Caenorhabditis elegans: one gene and its partner. The protein of the gene in region 1 purifies or fractionates together with the protein of each later gene. This does not show direct contact. Each region holds a gene or a part of one and is shown on either strand. Other genes may lie near its edges. The genes, in order: pygl-1 and W04C9.6.

The links.
Region 2: the proteins of pygl-1 (region 1) and W04C9.6 fractionate together in Caenorhabditis elegans (co-fractionation; one large-scale study listed by BioGRID). This does not show direct contact.

The regions. Positions count from the first base shown.
Region 1 is NC_003283.11:3,576,717-3,585,272, forward strand, and holds pygl-1 (Alpha-1,4 glucan phosphorylase), read left to right. Parts: upstream 1-2,425; 5' UTR 2,426-2,451; coding exon 2,452-2,505; intron 2,506-4,670; exon of another isoform or gene 4,671-4,681; coding exon 4,682-5,362; intron 5,363-5,414; exon of another isoform or gene 5,415-5,486; intron 5,487-5,603; exon of another isoform or gene 5,604-5,675; intron 5,676-5,737; coding exon 5,738-5,959; intron 5,960-6,015; coding exon 6,016-6,572; intron 6,573-6,878; coding exon 6,879-7,836; intron 7,837-7,896; coding exon 7,897-8,073; 3' UTR 8,074-8,326; downstream 8,327-8,556.
Region 2 is NC_003279.8:483,085-490,438, reverse strand, and holds W04C9.6 (MFS domain-containing protein), read left to right. Parts: upstream 1-2,046; 5' UTR 2,047-2,448; coding exon 2,449-2,481; intron 2,482-2,536; coding exon 2,537-2,645; intron 2,646-2,711; coding exon 2,712-2,852; intron 2,853-3,589; coding exon 3,590-3,972; intron 3,973-4,819; coding exon 4,820-5,058; intron 5,059-5,162; coding exon 5,163-5,286; intron 5,287-5,436; coding exon 5,437-5,532; intron 5,533-5,580; coding exon 5,581-5,651; intron 5,652-6,129; coding exon 6,130-6,313; 3' UTR 6,314-6,400; downstream 6,401-7,354. Other genes in the region: haf-4 (ABC-type antigen peptide transporter), read right to left, coding at 237-388; W04C9.2 (MICOS complex subunit MIC13), read right to left, coding at 668-739, 1,495-1,557, 1,606-1,671, 1,716-1,823; W04C9.9 (Zinc finger protein), read left to right, coding at 6,559-6,569.

The DNA of each region.
Region 1 (8,556 bases):
AAAATATGAGGGAGCCTAGAAATCCGTGTATAATTGAAGGAATAGGTTTTGTTTTGTGTCTACAAATGCCAGCTGCTGCCAACAAGAATTTGTTTTGGGAAACAATCGAATTCTAAGAAATTCAGTTAACATTTGTTTTGATTCTATCCTTCCTTATTTTTCAACCCGACTGGCAATGAGTTCCTTGCAAGAATATTGTCTCTATCTCTCCAATTTTCCAAATGTTCAAAATCCGAAACGTTCTTGTGTTGTTGGCAAGGACTGGCCTATACCTCCCACGCAATTACCGCCGTACTTGTATCATTTCACATATTAGGCGGTTACTGTATTCTGCTCAAGACCCCACCGCAAATGGCATCTTATCGATGGCCATTGTTTAATTTACATTTTTGGTGAGTTCTACAAAATTGAAAAAACTGTTTTTTTTTAAATTTCGCTCTAGGACATGTTTCGTGGATATTCTGCTCGGTGCGCTTGTGACCCCCTATTTATTTTTTTCCGGCTCTGGCTTGGTTCACAGTTGGGCTATTGAGCCTGCTGGGGGTGCCTGATTCTGTTCAAGTTGGCCTAGCATCCGTGTTTGTGTACTGTGAGCGACGAAAAGAAACAGCGAAATGTTCGCTTTTTTTTTTCTAAAAAAGGCAAAAAAATTGAGGATAGGCCGCGCTGCACACGAAAATGCAATCGCGCTCTAACGTCAAAGCTCCGCTCCTACAAGTTGGGTCTCGTTAGGTATCGGCGGTAAAACCGTAGTTTCAAAAAATTTCAACTATTTTCGTCGATTTCCAAACATGGTGTCAAGATGTTCCATAGCGACTTGATCTACAAAAAATAAGGGAAATTTTTCCACAGAAAAATTACCTCATCACACTCTAAACCATGCGAATTCAATTAAGAAATGTGCGTCTAAATTACCGAAGCGATTATTTTTTATTTCATAAAACTGTTCAGCATAATCAAATATACCAGAAAATACCAAACAACATACTCTAGCTTGTACGGAAGTTTATTTTAAAAAATTTCAAAACTTAACCAAAAGCTGTTATATTCAAAAATTCAAAAGTACGGTAAAATGGTATGGAGTCATTCTTTTTTATTTCATAAAACTGTTCAGCATAACTAAGTATACCAGAAAATACTAAACAACATGTTGTTAATTAAAAAAGACATTTTTTAGCAGTTTTTCTTCAGATTTTATTACGGACACACTAAATCCTGAGAATGCGTATTGCGCAACACATTTGACGCGCAAAATATCTCGTAGCGAAAACTACAGTAACTCTTTAAATGACTACTGTAATGCTTGTGTCGATTTACGGGTTTGATTGTGTCATCACTGTCACTGTTCGAAAATAAAATCATTTCGAAAATCGAGCCCGTAAATCGACACAAGCGCTACAGTAGTCATTCGAAGGATTACTGTAGTTTTCGCTACGAAATATTTTGCGCGTCAATTGTGCTGCGCAATACGCATTCTCAGGATGTAGTGTTCCAGAAATATCTAAAATATAAATTTATTTAAAAAAATAAATTTTTAGCAGTAAAATTGAATTTTTTTAATTGTATTAAACATTTTAATAATATTTTATTATTGAACTAGAGGTTGTTTCATGAAATAATTTGAAATAATTTTTTTTTTCAATTTTTTCGAAAAAAGGTAATTATTTTTGAATTTCTGACGATAATTTAGCGATTTCTGGCTTGAATCACCTTTTTCTTTCAAATTTTCAGACTTTTTTTCCGGAAAAAAAGTAAAATCATCGATTTTTACGCCAAATTTTTTTTTCTAGTGGTATTTTTTTTCTAGTGGTATCAATTTTCCTTCACGCAAAAAATATCTGAAAATTAGATGAACGGTGTTTTAAGTGTTTTAAATCGAAAAATCAAAACAAAAACAATTAATTTTGACAGAAAATGGGAAAAAGTCAAAACGTTTCATTTATTTGCGCAGGAATTCGAAATTAATTCATCCACTTTTCTTATATACTTGCAAAATTCTTTTTAAAAAATCATTAAAAAATTGAGATAAAAAGTTTTTTTTCAACAGTTATATTATGTTGTTACGGCCAATTTTCTATGCTTTGAAGCAAGTTTTCAATATAATTTGTTCTAAATTTGATCTTAAATGAATTTTCTTTAAAATAATCTGCAATTTTTAGGAAAAACTGTTTTTCAAGCAAGAAAAACTAAATTATTTATTTATTTTTAATTAAATTTAAATTCAAATCCGCTACGGCGAGTACGGTGCGCATCGGTGTTTGCGTACTCGCCTACCGTACCCTCGGTGTTGTTGGCGCGAAAATTTTGTTTTCCAATTTTCAATCATGGCGCCAATTTCTGCATTTTCGGTGCAATAAACCACTTGTTTTCGTCAATTTTTTGATTGTCTTCTCCAAATTTTTATCAGTCATTCTTCACTGTTCACCTTCGTAGCCGCCGGTGACACCGAAAATGTCGGATATTGCTGCTCGTTTTGGATTCTTCAACTGGAACAACGTGCGCCCGGTAAGTAATTCGCTGATTATTTCATGCTATCAAGCTTCTTCTTCATCATCTGCTTCATCTGCTTCATCTCTTCATAAGCCAGAAAATCATAAGAAAAAAAACAGCGAGCAGGCAGGGATTTAAGTGAGTGTGTGCGTGCAAAATGGGGAAACGGCCGGCTGAATCTTGCCGAAAAACACGTACGCTTCACTTCAGGCTTCTCCTTTTCGCTTCTCGCCGGCACACACACACACACACACACATGTCAGTCTACTTTTCCCGCCACTTTTCTTCAGCCCATCCTCTTCCTCTTCTATAGGACTTCGGCTCCCAGCTCTCGTTTCACTGGTCATTTCATTTCATAAGCGACGGTGAAAATTGGAATCTATCGAACCTATACGCCTCAAGAATCGTTCACCTTGCCCCCTCCAGCTCGTCGCGTTGTTTGTGCGGTGATTGGTCCTCACTGTACATATACAGTGTTCAAAAAACGGAAAAATACCCGTTTTGTTGTTCTGCTGCACCGCCCGTCTTCTCATTGATATCATAACAGGAGGCGGTGATGATAAGAAAGTCGGGAAATTAATATTAAAGCTTCTAGAAACAGATTTTTCCTCGCCAAAAAAAAAATAAAAAATCTCTTGATTTCTTGGTTTTTCAATTTTTCAATCTTCAATCTCGTCATCTTCTCGACAAAAAATTTGAATCTCCGCCTGCTTCTCTCTCTCTCTGTTTCCCTATCAGTGTCCGTCGGGGTCACACACAACATGTATTTTTCTCTACATCTCTGCTTCTCCCAGAGTTGTTTTCCTCTCCTCACATTTTACACACACGCTCACAAACCCCTTCGCATCCTCTCCCCATCCATTTTTTTTAGATGGCTCGGGCCTCTATGCTCTTTTTTCGATTCCACATAAGCGTGGCAGCTCCCCGAAAGTTTTCGGAACTTTTTTTCAAATTTTCTCAATTTCCAATGGCATCGATCATTCACGTGCACACACTCGTCTCAGTTGAAAAAGAATTGATAAATCGGCAGTGACAAGAATTGTTTATCAAACACAAAGCGGCCATGTCTACCGATAGTCTTTTCCATATTCGAACAGATTTCCGCAAGATTTTAATTAATTAATTCGAGTTGACAGCACAATCTTTGAAGATTCGGTTTTGCGACAATTAAATGCTTTTCTTTGACAAAATCATAAGTAGAAAAGCTTTAAAGTTCAAGCTTCAGGCTAAACAAAAAAGGCTGTGAGCAAAGAACAAAGTCTTCCGTAGCCCAGAAGAAAGTGCCCCTCACTTTCATTAATTTTTTTTTCGATTTTCTTGGGCCGACCGGGTGATAAAAATACACCGAAATATCCTGTCGTCGTCTACTGATTGTTGTTTTATTATCACTTACGCGTTATCAGTTTATCGGTAGTTTTCTGCATGTTGACTGACCGCCGACACGGTCAACACTGATATTATTCGACGTTTTAGCCTGATCAGTTTGAAGCGATGCATTTCACTCCTCAATGATCAGCGAAAATATTTTTTCTTCGATTTTTTTTTTGGTTCAAGGAGGAATGCTTGCTTGTATAGGATCAAAACTTCGCAGAAAATTACTAATTTTAGCTAAGATCCCCAGTTTTGCCAGCTTTTCCGTGTCGCAGTGCTCAGAGACTAACTTTTATTTGATTATCATCTTTTATTGCATATTTTCATCACTTATTTCGTTGATTGAGGCATTTTTGGTCCCTTATCGGCTTAAATGCACCTAGATCAATGAAAAAACGTTGGATAAATGCCCAATAAATGATGTTAATCAAATAAAAGCTAGTTTCTGCGAACTGCGACACGGAAAAGTTCGCAAAACTAAAGGTTTTTGCGGAAATTTGCGATTTTTTTGAAAAATATAGCAAATCCACGTGGCTTTCATACTTTTTTCAAAAATCTTTCATCTTGGAAATCACGGGGCCGGCCCCTGCTATCAATATTGATTGTTGACTGATCACTGAACTGCCCCCCTCCTGTTGACTTTGTACTGCGTCGACTACTATCTCGCAACACATTTTGTTTTCTGGCCTGACTCGCCATTGCCTGCAGTGTTCGAAATTTTTGTTTGTCCACCATTCTTATCACAGTAGCCGAACAAGTTATAATTTTCACCACTTTCCGCTCATTTTTTCTCCCAAAAAAACCAATTTCCAATTTTCAGCAGCCCGTGGTTGCCGAATCGACTGCCTCATCGTCGAGTCCGAAGCTGTTCAGCATGATCACCAACGATCACGATCGTCGCAAGCAGATCTCCGTGCGCGGAATCGCTCAAGTGGAGAACGTGTCGAACATCAAGAAGGCGTTCAATCGCCACCTTCACTTCTCGATCATCAAGGATCGTAACGTGGCCACCGATCGCGACTACTACTTCGCGCTCGCCAACACTGTCCGCGATCATCTCGTGTCTCGCTGGATACGAACTCAACAACACTACTATGACAAGGATCCGAAGCGGGTCTACTATCTGTCGTTGGAGTTCTACATGGGGCGAACGCTGTCGAACACAATGATGAACCTCGGAATTCAGGCGACCGTCGACGAGGCGCTCTACCAGCTCGGTCTAGACATTGAGGAGCTTCAGGAGATCGAAGAGGACGCCGGGCTCGGAAACGGAGGACTCGGACGTCTCGCCGCGTGTTTCCTCGACTCGATGGCCACGCTGGGTATTCCGGCTTACGGATACGGGCTTCGCTACGAGTACGGAATCTTCAAGCAACTTATTCGTGACGGATGGCAGATTGAGGAGCCAGACGATTGGCTTCGCTTCGGAAATCCATGGGAGAAGGCTCGTCCAGAGTACATGCTTCCGGTCAACTTTTATGGAAAAGTTGTGAAGGAGGATGTGAGTTTTGATTTTTTGGAGAAAATTAAATTTAAAAAAATAAAAAAGGAATGGGCCGAACTGGGGATTGAACCCGGGACCTCTCGCACCCAAAGCGAGAATCATACCACTAGACCATTCGGCCATGTTTGGAAATCGTGTTTGGAAGCAATCAAGATGCACAATAATCGATAATTGGCTGATTGCGAGAAATAATAAGATTCGATATCTCTTCATCACCAGCTTTCACGTATCTAATCGTGGCCGAATGGTCTAGTGGTATGATTCTCGCTTTGGGTGCGAGAGGTCCCGGGTTCAATCCCCGGTTCGGCCCATTCCTTTTTTCTTTTTTTCGCTTACTTTTTTTATTTTTCATTAAAAAATATATTATTTCAGGGAAAATCGAAATGGATCGACACTCAAGTTGTGTTTGCCATGCCATACGACACACCAGTCCCCGGATACAAGAACAACATCGTCAACACGCTTCGTTTGTGGTCCGCCAAAGCCGAAAATCATTTCCACCTCAAGTTCTTCAACGACGGAGACTACGTGCAGGCTGTGATGGATCGTAACTTGTCCGAGAACATCACTCGTGTCCTCTACCCGAATGACAACGTATGTTTGAGCTAGATTTTGGCAGAAAAAAAAAATCAATTTCCCCACATTTTCAGATGTTCCTCGGAAAGGAGCTCCGTCTCAAGCAGCAATACTTCCTCGTCGCCGCCACCCTCCAGGACATCATCCGCCGCTTCAAGTCCTCCATCTACGGAAACCGCGAGGCCGTCCGTGTCAACTTCGAGACCTTCCCGGATAAGGTGGCCATCCAGCTCAACGACACTCATCCATCGATCGGAATTCCCGAGTTGATCCGTCTCCTCATCGACGTCGAGGGACTCACCTGGGATCAGGCCTGGGACATTTGCATCAAGACCTACGCCTACACCAATCACACCTTGCTCCCAGAGGCCCTCGAGCGCTGGCCAGTGTCGCTTATGCAGAATTTGTTGCCGCGTCATTTGGAGATCATCTACGAGATCAATCAGAAGTTCATGAACACCATCTCGCAGAGATTCCCAGGAGATTTCGACCGTATGCGTCGTATGTCGATTGTCGAGGAGGCCGATCAGTTCGGCGAGAAGCGCATCAATATGGCTCATTTGTGCATTGTGGCTTCTCATGCCATTAATGGAGTCGCGGCTCTTCACTCGGATCTTCTCAAGAGCTCCACGTAAGCGAAAATGCTCTGAAACCTGGCGCTAGAACCAATGGGCGACGCATCATTTTGCAGCTCCGCCGCACGAATTTATTTTGGCTGTTTTTCGCATGATGTTTTGAAAGATTTCGATATGTGAACTCGATAAAATCACGAAAAATTGATAATTTGTCATTGAAAATTCGGACAGAAAGAGAAAAAACATCGTGCGGCGGTGTTGCTAAATCGCGCGCCGCAAATTGCAATCCCGGCCCGCCCAATTTTTCTTACGCGCAAATTGCAAAATTACCATTTTAAAAAATTAATATCATCCATTTCCAGCTTCCGTGACTTCTATGAGTTCTACCCGGATCGCTTCCAAAACAAGACGAACGGAATCACACCACGCCGCTGGCTTCTTCTCTCCAACCCATCTCTCGCCGACCTCATCGTCGAGAAGATCGGCGAGTCGTGGATCACCAATCTCGACGAGCTTCAGAAGCTCAAGGAGTACGCCAACGATGCCGGGTTCCTCGATTCGATTCGTCGTGTGAAGCTCGAGAACAAGCAACAAGTCGCCCAGTATTTGAGCGACGAGTACAATGTCAACGTGAACGCCGCTTCGTTGTTCGATGTGCATGTGAAGAGAATCCACGAGTACAAGAGACAGCTTCTCAATATTCTCCACGTCATTGCTCTCTACAATCGTATCAAGGAGAACCCGAACATCGATATGGTTAAGCGTACCGTGTTGTACGGAGGAAAAGCTGCTCCAGGATACCATATGGCTAAGCAGATCATTCGTTTGATCACCGCCGTCGCCGAACAAGTCAACAATGATGCCATCGTTGGTGATCGTTTGAAGGTCATCTTCCTCGAGAACTACCGTGTCTCGATGGCTGAAAAGATCATTCCAGCTTCTGATCTCTCTGAACAGATCTCGACCGCCGGAACCGAGGCTTCAGGAACCGGAAACATGAAGTTCATGTTGAACGGAGCTCTCACAATCGGAACTCTCGACGGAGCCAACGTTGAGATGGCCGAGGAGATGGGCGACGAGAACATCTTCATCTTCGGAATGAACGTCGAGGAGGTTGAGGCGCTCACAAAGCGCGGATACTCTTCGCAGGAGTTCATCGACAAGAGCCCAATGCTCAAGCAGATCATCGAGCAAATCGAAGGTGGCATGTTCACTCCAGAAGATCCAGATCAGCTCAAGGATCTCTCCAACATGCTCCGCTATCATGATCGTTTCATGGTGTGCGCCGATTTCGACGCTTTCATTGAAGCCCAGGATAAGGTAAAACTCAAAAAATTCAACTAATTCAAATTTTTACTGATCAAAATAAATTATTTTCAGGTCTCCGCTACATTCCGCGACCAAGAGAAGTGGTCTCGCATGGCCCTCTACAACATCGCCTCGACCGGAAAGTTCTCAACAGATCGCACAATCACCGAATACGCTCGTGAAATCTGGGGAATCGACCAGTTCGAGAGCTCTCTTCCAGCACCATATGAGAATGAGAAGAGCGAATAATTCTTCTATGCACTAACATTGTAATTAATTATCGCCATAACTTCCCCTCCTCTCCGTCCCATTTAGTTTATAGCATTTTTATAGAAGCCTTTCCCTCCCCCGATAATTCTTGTGAATCTTCAAGATCAAATTGATTTTGTCCTCTCTGCCCCCAGTCCAATAATCGTACTTCCCCCGAATGTGTTGCCATACTTTGAGATTGTCTATTTGCACGTCTGCCCTGCATATTTATGATAAATTGACTGAAAATATCAACTTTTTTTTTTTAATTTTGACTCGAATCTGCAAATGCTGAAATTTAATTAAAAATTATGGCTGTCTGAAGGATCTTCAAAGAAGTTTCGATACCTCTACGACCAGCTCGTTAGCAAAATACCAAACTCCTTTTCGATGAGTTTTCAAAATTCCTGGATAAATATCCTGAACTTTCTACATCAGAAGACCATTCGCAACGTAAAATTATTGATTCCAGGAAGTTGAAGT
Region 2 (7,354 bases), on another chromosome or scaffold:
TTGTGAGACCCAAGGACTGTGGAGCGTAGTTGCAAAAAATCATTAAAAATTTTTTTTTGCAACTGCGCTCCACTGTACTTGGGTCTCGTAACGTTAGTTTTTGGCGGGAATTCAAAATTTTTTGCAGTTTTCTATATTTTTACACACTGAAAATTAGAATTCCAGCGAAAATGACACTCGGCTTCAATTTTCATTTTTCGTGGCCTAAAATTAACTCGGCCACCAATCAATCGAACCTCGTAAAAAACGAAAAATCGCCAAATTGCGAAGTAAAATTCGCGAATTTGAAAGTTCCATCATGCAGGCAGGCGAACAGTAGGCACGCCAAAAAATCGATCGACGCCAGAATGAGTCCCCATGAGAAACGGGAAGCCACCGTCGAATTCATGGCAAAAAAAAGCAGGGAGAAGAAGTTGCGATGAATTGAGTTGGGCAGGCAGTGTGAGCTTATCAGTGAATTGATAATCAGTGGAGAAAATTGATCAACGATGGGAACTGATAAAATAATATAATGCACCGTCCGTTTAAAGTCAAAAATTGCAAATTTTTTCATAGAGCACACACACAAATACTTCTAGAAAATGAGGAGGGAAAAAGTACATTCTAACGAAGGAATACACGAGGATTCGGGGGGAAAATCGATAAATCGATAATTTTTATGGGGAATTTATTTATTATTGATGAGTCGATTGGCCACTGTGTTCACGCTTGATGGGACGTTCTCGATTGTGGTGAATACCTGAAAAAAATTGAGTTTGAAATTGTTGGAAATGCGCTCCACTGCACTAGCTTGGGTCTCGCAGCGAAATCGCGTAAATTTGAAATTCCGGTGAAAAAAAACGGCAATTTCAGGTATTTTCTATGCTTTTTGAGTGGGAACTTGGAGAAAAGTGCGATAGAGCGCGTTTGCATTATTTTCGGATAATGTTTGAATTTCCTACAATATTTCTGGTCTCGCAGCGAAATCGTCGGAATTTTGCTAATGTCTGTAATTTTCTACGCGAAATTTTGAAAAAAAAGTGCCATGGAGTGTGCTTGCATTTTTTTTAAAAACAATTTCAGAATTTTCTCTGAATTTTGGACTAAAAATTGCGTTTTGCATTATCTTTCCTACAAAACCAGAAGTTTAAGACTTTTCGAGTCAGAAATTGGAAAAAAGTGCGATGGAGCGTACTTGCATTTGGTTAATTTTTGACGTGGAATTTTTTTTGAATTTCGCTTTTTGTGAAAAAAAGTGTTTTGCATTATTTTCAGCAATTTTCTCCAAAATTTGTGTCTTTTTGTCATATTTTTCCTAGTTTTAGGCACTTTTTTCGACGTTTAGCTCTGAAATTTGACTAAAAATGACTGAAAATTTATATTTTTCAATTTTTCAGATAGATTTTTGAAATTATGGAATTTCTTGAACGTTCGGCGCCAAATCTCCATTTTCCAGGACTTTTTTCCAACTTTCGCAGCAATTTTTCCGTGTTTCCTCTCAAAAATGCAGCCTACCGAGTCAACAGCACTGTTCCACTTTCCACCGGCCTTCAGCTGCACATCTTCGACTGTTGGGAGCTGAAAATAAGAAAAAAATTGCATTTTCAGAGAAAAAATCGATAAAACCTGCTCTGGAAAGACGACGGTGCCGGGAAGAATGTACTTTTTAAGCTTTTGATACAGTTCGCTGCCCTGAAAATGAAAATTTTCGTGGAAAAACGGGGGAAAACTAATACTTTAACATTGTTAGTCGACCAAATATCGTTATCGATTGACAGTTTGACGGCGCCGGCGACGAGTCCAACTTTAATTCCGAGTTTTGCAGTTTTCCACAAGAATCCCATGTTGCCGACCTGAAAATTCGAATATTTTGTGTGAAAAATCAGTTATTTTGCAACAAGACGTGAAAAATAAATAAAAAATCACAAATTCAAGAAGAAAAGTTCAGAAAAACTGAAAAAAAATCGGAAAAATAAAATGAACGTCGCGCGCACGAGAAATGCGCAAGCAAATCGAGACTCGCGTCAGAGCACGAGAAACGCGCCAGCCTCGTCTGCGTTTCTCTTCTCACAATGCTCTCTCTCACTGAAATAAGCTTATAAGCTTAAAAGTCTGCAAATCTTTAATTTGGCGAGGGATAATCGAAAATTTAAGCTCACAGATGCCTAGAAAATTAAATTTTAAGTAGATTATATTAAAATTTCATAAAAATAATGATAATTAACGGTATTTATTAAAGTTTTAGATTTCATCAAATTTTCAGACTATACTATAGTCTTGCAATTTTCAAAGAATTTTTCCTGCAAAAAACAAGTACAAAGCATTGATCAAATTAACACTATCAAGTTGACAGTGTCAACGTTTAATCCCCCAGCAGTATTTCCCTTAAATTGATCACTGCACTTTTCGTTATCACCACGAGCATCATAAATTTTTTTACTTATTTAAAATTCCGGTTTCTGATGCACCATGGTCAACTCGCCGGTTCCTGTCCGATTTCTGGTACTTTTTGAACTCAAAACCCCCGGAAAATTGAATTTTCACGATTTTTTTGCAGATTTTAATATGTGCCACACTGTGTTTGACCTCGATTCTTTCAAATATGAATACTTATAATTTTACAAAAATTTGTATGCAAGATGATAATAGTACTTCAACTTCAAAAGGTTTTTTTTTTAATTCGGTGGCCGAGTTTTTCCATTGGCGGCCGCCAAAATAGTTGATTTTTTCAGTGAACTATACCAAATCAGAGTCGAATTTTCTTCAATCGTGTGTGGCTATTGGAAGTCTTGCCGCCTCGATTCCATTTTCCATTTCTTTTCAACATTTGCCGCATAAACCTGTCTTCATTGTCGCCGGAATTATTTCGGGAGGTATGACGTCAATCGTGGCCGCGAAAAAAAAAAATATCGGTGGCCGAGTTTTCTGTAGTTTTTATTTGTTTCGAGAAAACTGACTAATTTCTATAGACTAATTTTATAAAAACTGTGCATTTTGTCGTCAGATCCAGTGCATGCGTATTTTCAAAGCTACAGTACCCCAAAAAGCATGCATCGAAAGCATACAAAATTTTTGAAATTGATCGTCAAATATGGTGTATTGCACAGTGGGCGTTGAATTTGACGCGCAAAACAATAATCTGATTTTTCGAAACAAAAACATGGTGCATGAAGCACAAAAAATTGTGAAAAATTCCGCGTAAGCACGTGGTGTCAGGCTGTCCCATCACGGTTTGATCTACAAAAAATGCGGGAATTATTTGCCCGAAAATATGTGACGTCAGCACGTTCTTAACCATACGAAATCAGTTGAGAACTCTGCGTCTCTTCTCCCGCATTTTTTGTAGATCTACGTAGATCAAGCCTAAATGAGACACTCTGATACCACGTGCGTAAAATACTGAATTAAGTATTTAAGAATCATATTTTACGCGCAAAATAAAACAGATTTCACGAATTTTTCTGAAATTAAAAAAAAATTATCGATTTTTCAAAAATTATTGACATTTATTGTCCGAGAGGAGTACACCAAGCATCATTAGAGCGCGTTTCCATTTTTTAAATTTTAAAATTGCGCGTCAAATATGATGTATTGCACTCAATTTTTCCAGTTTCAACAGCCCTTATCCCGTTGGCAAGTACCATTGGCTACGGATGGTTTGTGGCCGCCCGTATTTGTCAAGGAATGGCATTTTCAGCCACATTTCCCCTCGCTGGCTCAATTACAGCAAATTGGGCGACCCCATACGAGCACGGAGTATTCATTGGCCTATTAACCGGAAATACACAACTTTCAAATATATTTACAATGCCAGTTTCGGGATGGTTATGCTCTTCGTCTGGTGGATGGACGTCGGTTTACTATGTGCACGCCGGTGTATCGTTGGTCACTTTTTCGCTGTTTTTCCTATTTTTCAAGTGCTCGCCGAGTGAGCACAGTTGGGTTGGCGAGAAGGAATTGGAGAGGATTCGAGAAGGGAAATCGGGAAAGAAAGTGAGTGCAAACGCGCTCTACCGGACACAAATTATAACTAGATTTTGGAGCGGAAAAAAACCTGAAATTGTACCACGTATCATTTTTGAGAAAAACGCGCCCGAAGGACTACGGAAAGCCCAAGCCTAAGCGCACGTGGTGCCTGGCTGTGCTATTACGGTTTGATCTACCAAAAATGCGGGAATTTTTGCCCCAAAAAATGTGACGTCAGCACACTCTTAACCATGCGAAATCAGTAGAAAACTCTGCGGCTCTTCCCCCGCATTTTTTGTAGATCTACGTAGATCAAGCCGAAATGAGGCACTCTGACACCACGTGTAAGCCTAAGCCTAAGCCTAGGCCTACGCCTAAGCCTATGCCTTAGCCTATGCCTAAACCTAGGACTGAATTAGTGGGTTCCTCGGGGTACGCAATTTGTCGACAATTAAGACGTTCCCTCATTAGTATGAGAAAATCCCAAATTTTTCTAAAACTGCTAGCAAGGTAAATGGGTTTCATGTACGCAAATTTGCTTCAACTTCAAGATTTTTTACATGAGAGTAACCGAGTTTTCAAAACCTCGGCCACCACATCGCATTGCATGGCCTAACTTTTCACGGGCTTCGAATTTCCCCCATGTTTTCAAATGGAAGAGGTGGCCGTGAAAAAAGCGAACCTCGACCGGGGGTCGCGACCTGCGACAAACAGGAAAACTCAAAAAAAGTAGCGACAGTACGAAATTTCTTTGAGTTTTCCCGTTTGTCGCGAGTCGCGACCCCCGGTCGAGGTTAGCTTTATTCACGGCCACCTCTTCCATTTGAAAACATGGGGGGGGAAATTCGAAGCCCGTTACTTTTTCGTTTTGCAGGTATCCCGGCCAAAAAATCTTCCATTCCGTCATATTCTGACAAGTTTAAGCCTGTGGGCTTGTTGGATCGCATCGTTTGGAGATTTGATAACAGTTCAATTGGTATCCCAATTCAATCCGCAATATATGAAAAATTATTTGAACTATGACGTACTTTCGTCCGGTTTTTTGGCCGCCTTACCCATTATTTTTCAATTTTTTACGAAATTATCGTCGGGAATTATTAGTGATTATATTAAGTGAGTTTTTCGGGGGTTTTTCCTGGAAAAATAATTTTATAATTGTGAAAAAAATCAGTGGCCGAGTTTTTCCTCTCTACGGCCACCAAAAATCAATATTCCAGATTCATCTCAGAAACTCTGAAAACTAAAATTTTCAACACAATCGCTCTGGCCGTGGCCGCCGTTTTTTTCATCGTTCTAGCATTTATTCCACAGGAAAAACACTTGCTGGCTATTATTATAATGGTGAGTGGGTGGTGGTGGTGGCCTAGATAGGAAAACTCTTCCAGTGGGACAAGTGCGCTCAATTGATAATCCACGTTGAAAATAACCGATTATCAACATAGCGCACATACATCCATGGCCTAGTTTTCCTATTCTCTTCCATCATTCCAGATTTGCGCCGAAAGTGTGATGGGGTGCAATACGGCGGGATTCAACAAGTGTGCCACGTTGCACTCCCAGCAGTACGCCTATTTCGCAATGCAGCAGGTAAGGGGGTGGCCGAGAAAATTTTTAGGCCAACGATTTCTCTTCCAGATCATGAACATCTGGGCTTGCACGATATTCATCGAACCGTTTTTCGTCAATATGATTGTTACTGATGATACGTGAGTTTTTAGGGTATTCATGTAGGCACGCAGGCATGAGGAATGCAGGCAGGCATAGGTAAACTTAAAGGCAGGCATGTAGGTATATACGGTCTAGAAAAAAAAACACGGTAAGCGTAGGTCACTTTGGAGGCAGGCAGGAAGGCATAGGCATAGATAACCTATGTGAGCTGGACCGGCGTAGATTCCCTAAAAGACTATCGAAAAGGCAGATAGCATTAAAAGCAGGTAGATAGGCACAGGGTACATTGGGGTAGACGTAGATAGCATGTAGGCTGACCTAGGCCACCTTGAAAGCAGGCAGTTGACCTACATAGTTTGTAAGGTAGGCATAGGCCTAGAAGGCACTGACAAAAATGCAGGCAAACCAGCATAGGTCTCACTTGAAGGTAGTCAAGTAGGTAGGCAAAGGTCCCCTGCAAGGCAGACGTAGGCAGGCAGGCGTAGGTCCCCTAAAAGACAAGATTATTTTTTTCAGATTCACAGACTGGCGTAATTGTTTCCTGGCGCATGCGGGCTTACTTCTCTTCGTAAATACTATATTCTGCCTGTTTGCCGACGCCTCGCCAGCAAAATGGACCAGATTACAAGATGATGACGTGGCAATTGAGGAGGAAAAAGAAGAATATTCTGGAAGTATTGAAGATATTATTAAGTTGTAAAAGTTGTACACTACTGTATAAATTGTAAAAGTGTTCCGAAGATTTTCGGCGCCCCAATAAAATTGAATGGCTTCTAGCTGAAGCTTACCTCCTCCCTATGAAATTTATGAAAAAAAATTTGCGGACATTTTTCTATTATTATTATTACGTAAATGCCCCAATTTCTACCACAAATTCTTATAGTTTTGCAGTTTTTTGTAAAAAATTCGGAATTTTGTATTGGTGGGAGCAAGTGTCAGAGCTCCATGTGCTATTCGTGAGTTTTTTTAAAATCTTGTCTAGAAAATACTGTAATTAACATAGAAATAGGGCATTTGAAACATGGCCTAGGAAAAACTATTGGTGGCCGAGTTTTTTTCCGTAGCTGTGAAAAGTGAAAAACGAAAAACCTCGGCCACCATTCAACTTTTTGGAGCATTTTTACAATTTGGAAAATTTAAATTTTGGTGGAATTTTCTAGGCCACGCAGTAGAATTCTAGGCCACTTGACGAATTCTGGATTAAAAATTGATTATAATTTTGATTTTGCAAAAATTGAGAAAAAAAAACCAGAAAAATAATTTTTAATTTTAAAATTTACTATCAATTGAGTTGTTTTTTTTAATTTTCGAAATGAGCAAATTTTCAAAAGCCTTGATTTTTCCTAGGCCACACTTGAGAATTCTCGGCCATCATAAAAATTTCAATCTTTTAGGCAGTGGTTGATATGATTTTTTTCACGGCTTTTAAAATAGGTTTTTATCCGTATAAATCCTTTATTTTGTAATCAAAACCACCAAAAAATATTTTTTTGAATTTTCTAGGCCACGCAGGAGAATTCTCGGCCACGTGGCACATTCCCAGCCATTCAATTCTGTAGAAATAATTAAAATTAAACTTTAACTCAAGATTAAAAAAAAGAAATTAGGCCATTTACGGAGCGTAGCGTGTCGCGTCGCGGCTCGGTTTTCAGTTGAAAACTAAATGTATTTGTCCGTGGGGAGTACACCACTTTTCCACGCGTCGTCCGGCAGGCGATTATCATCGGAGCGCGAAAAGTGC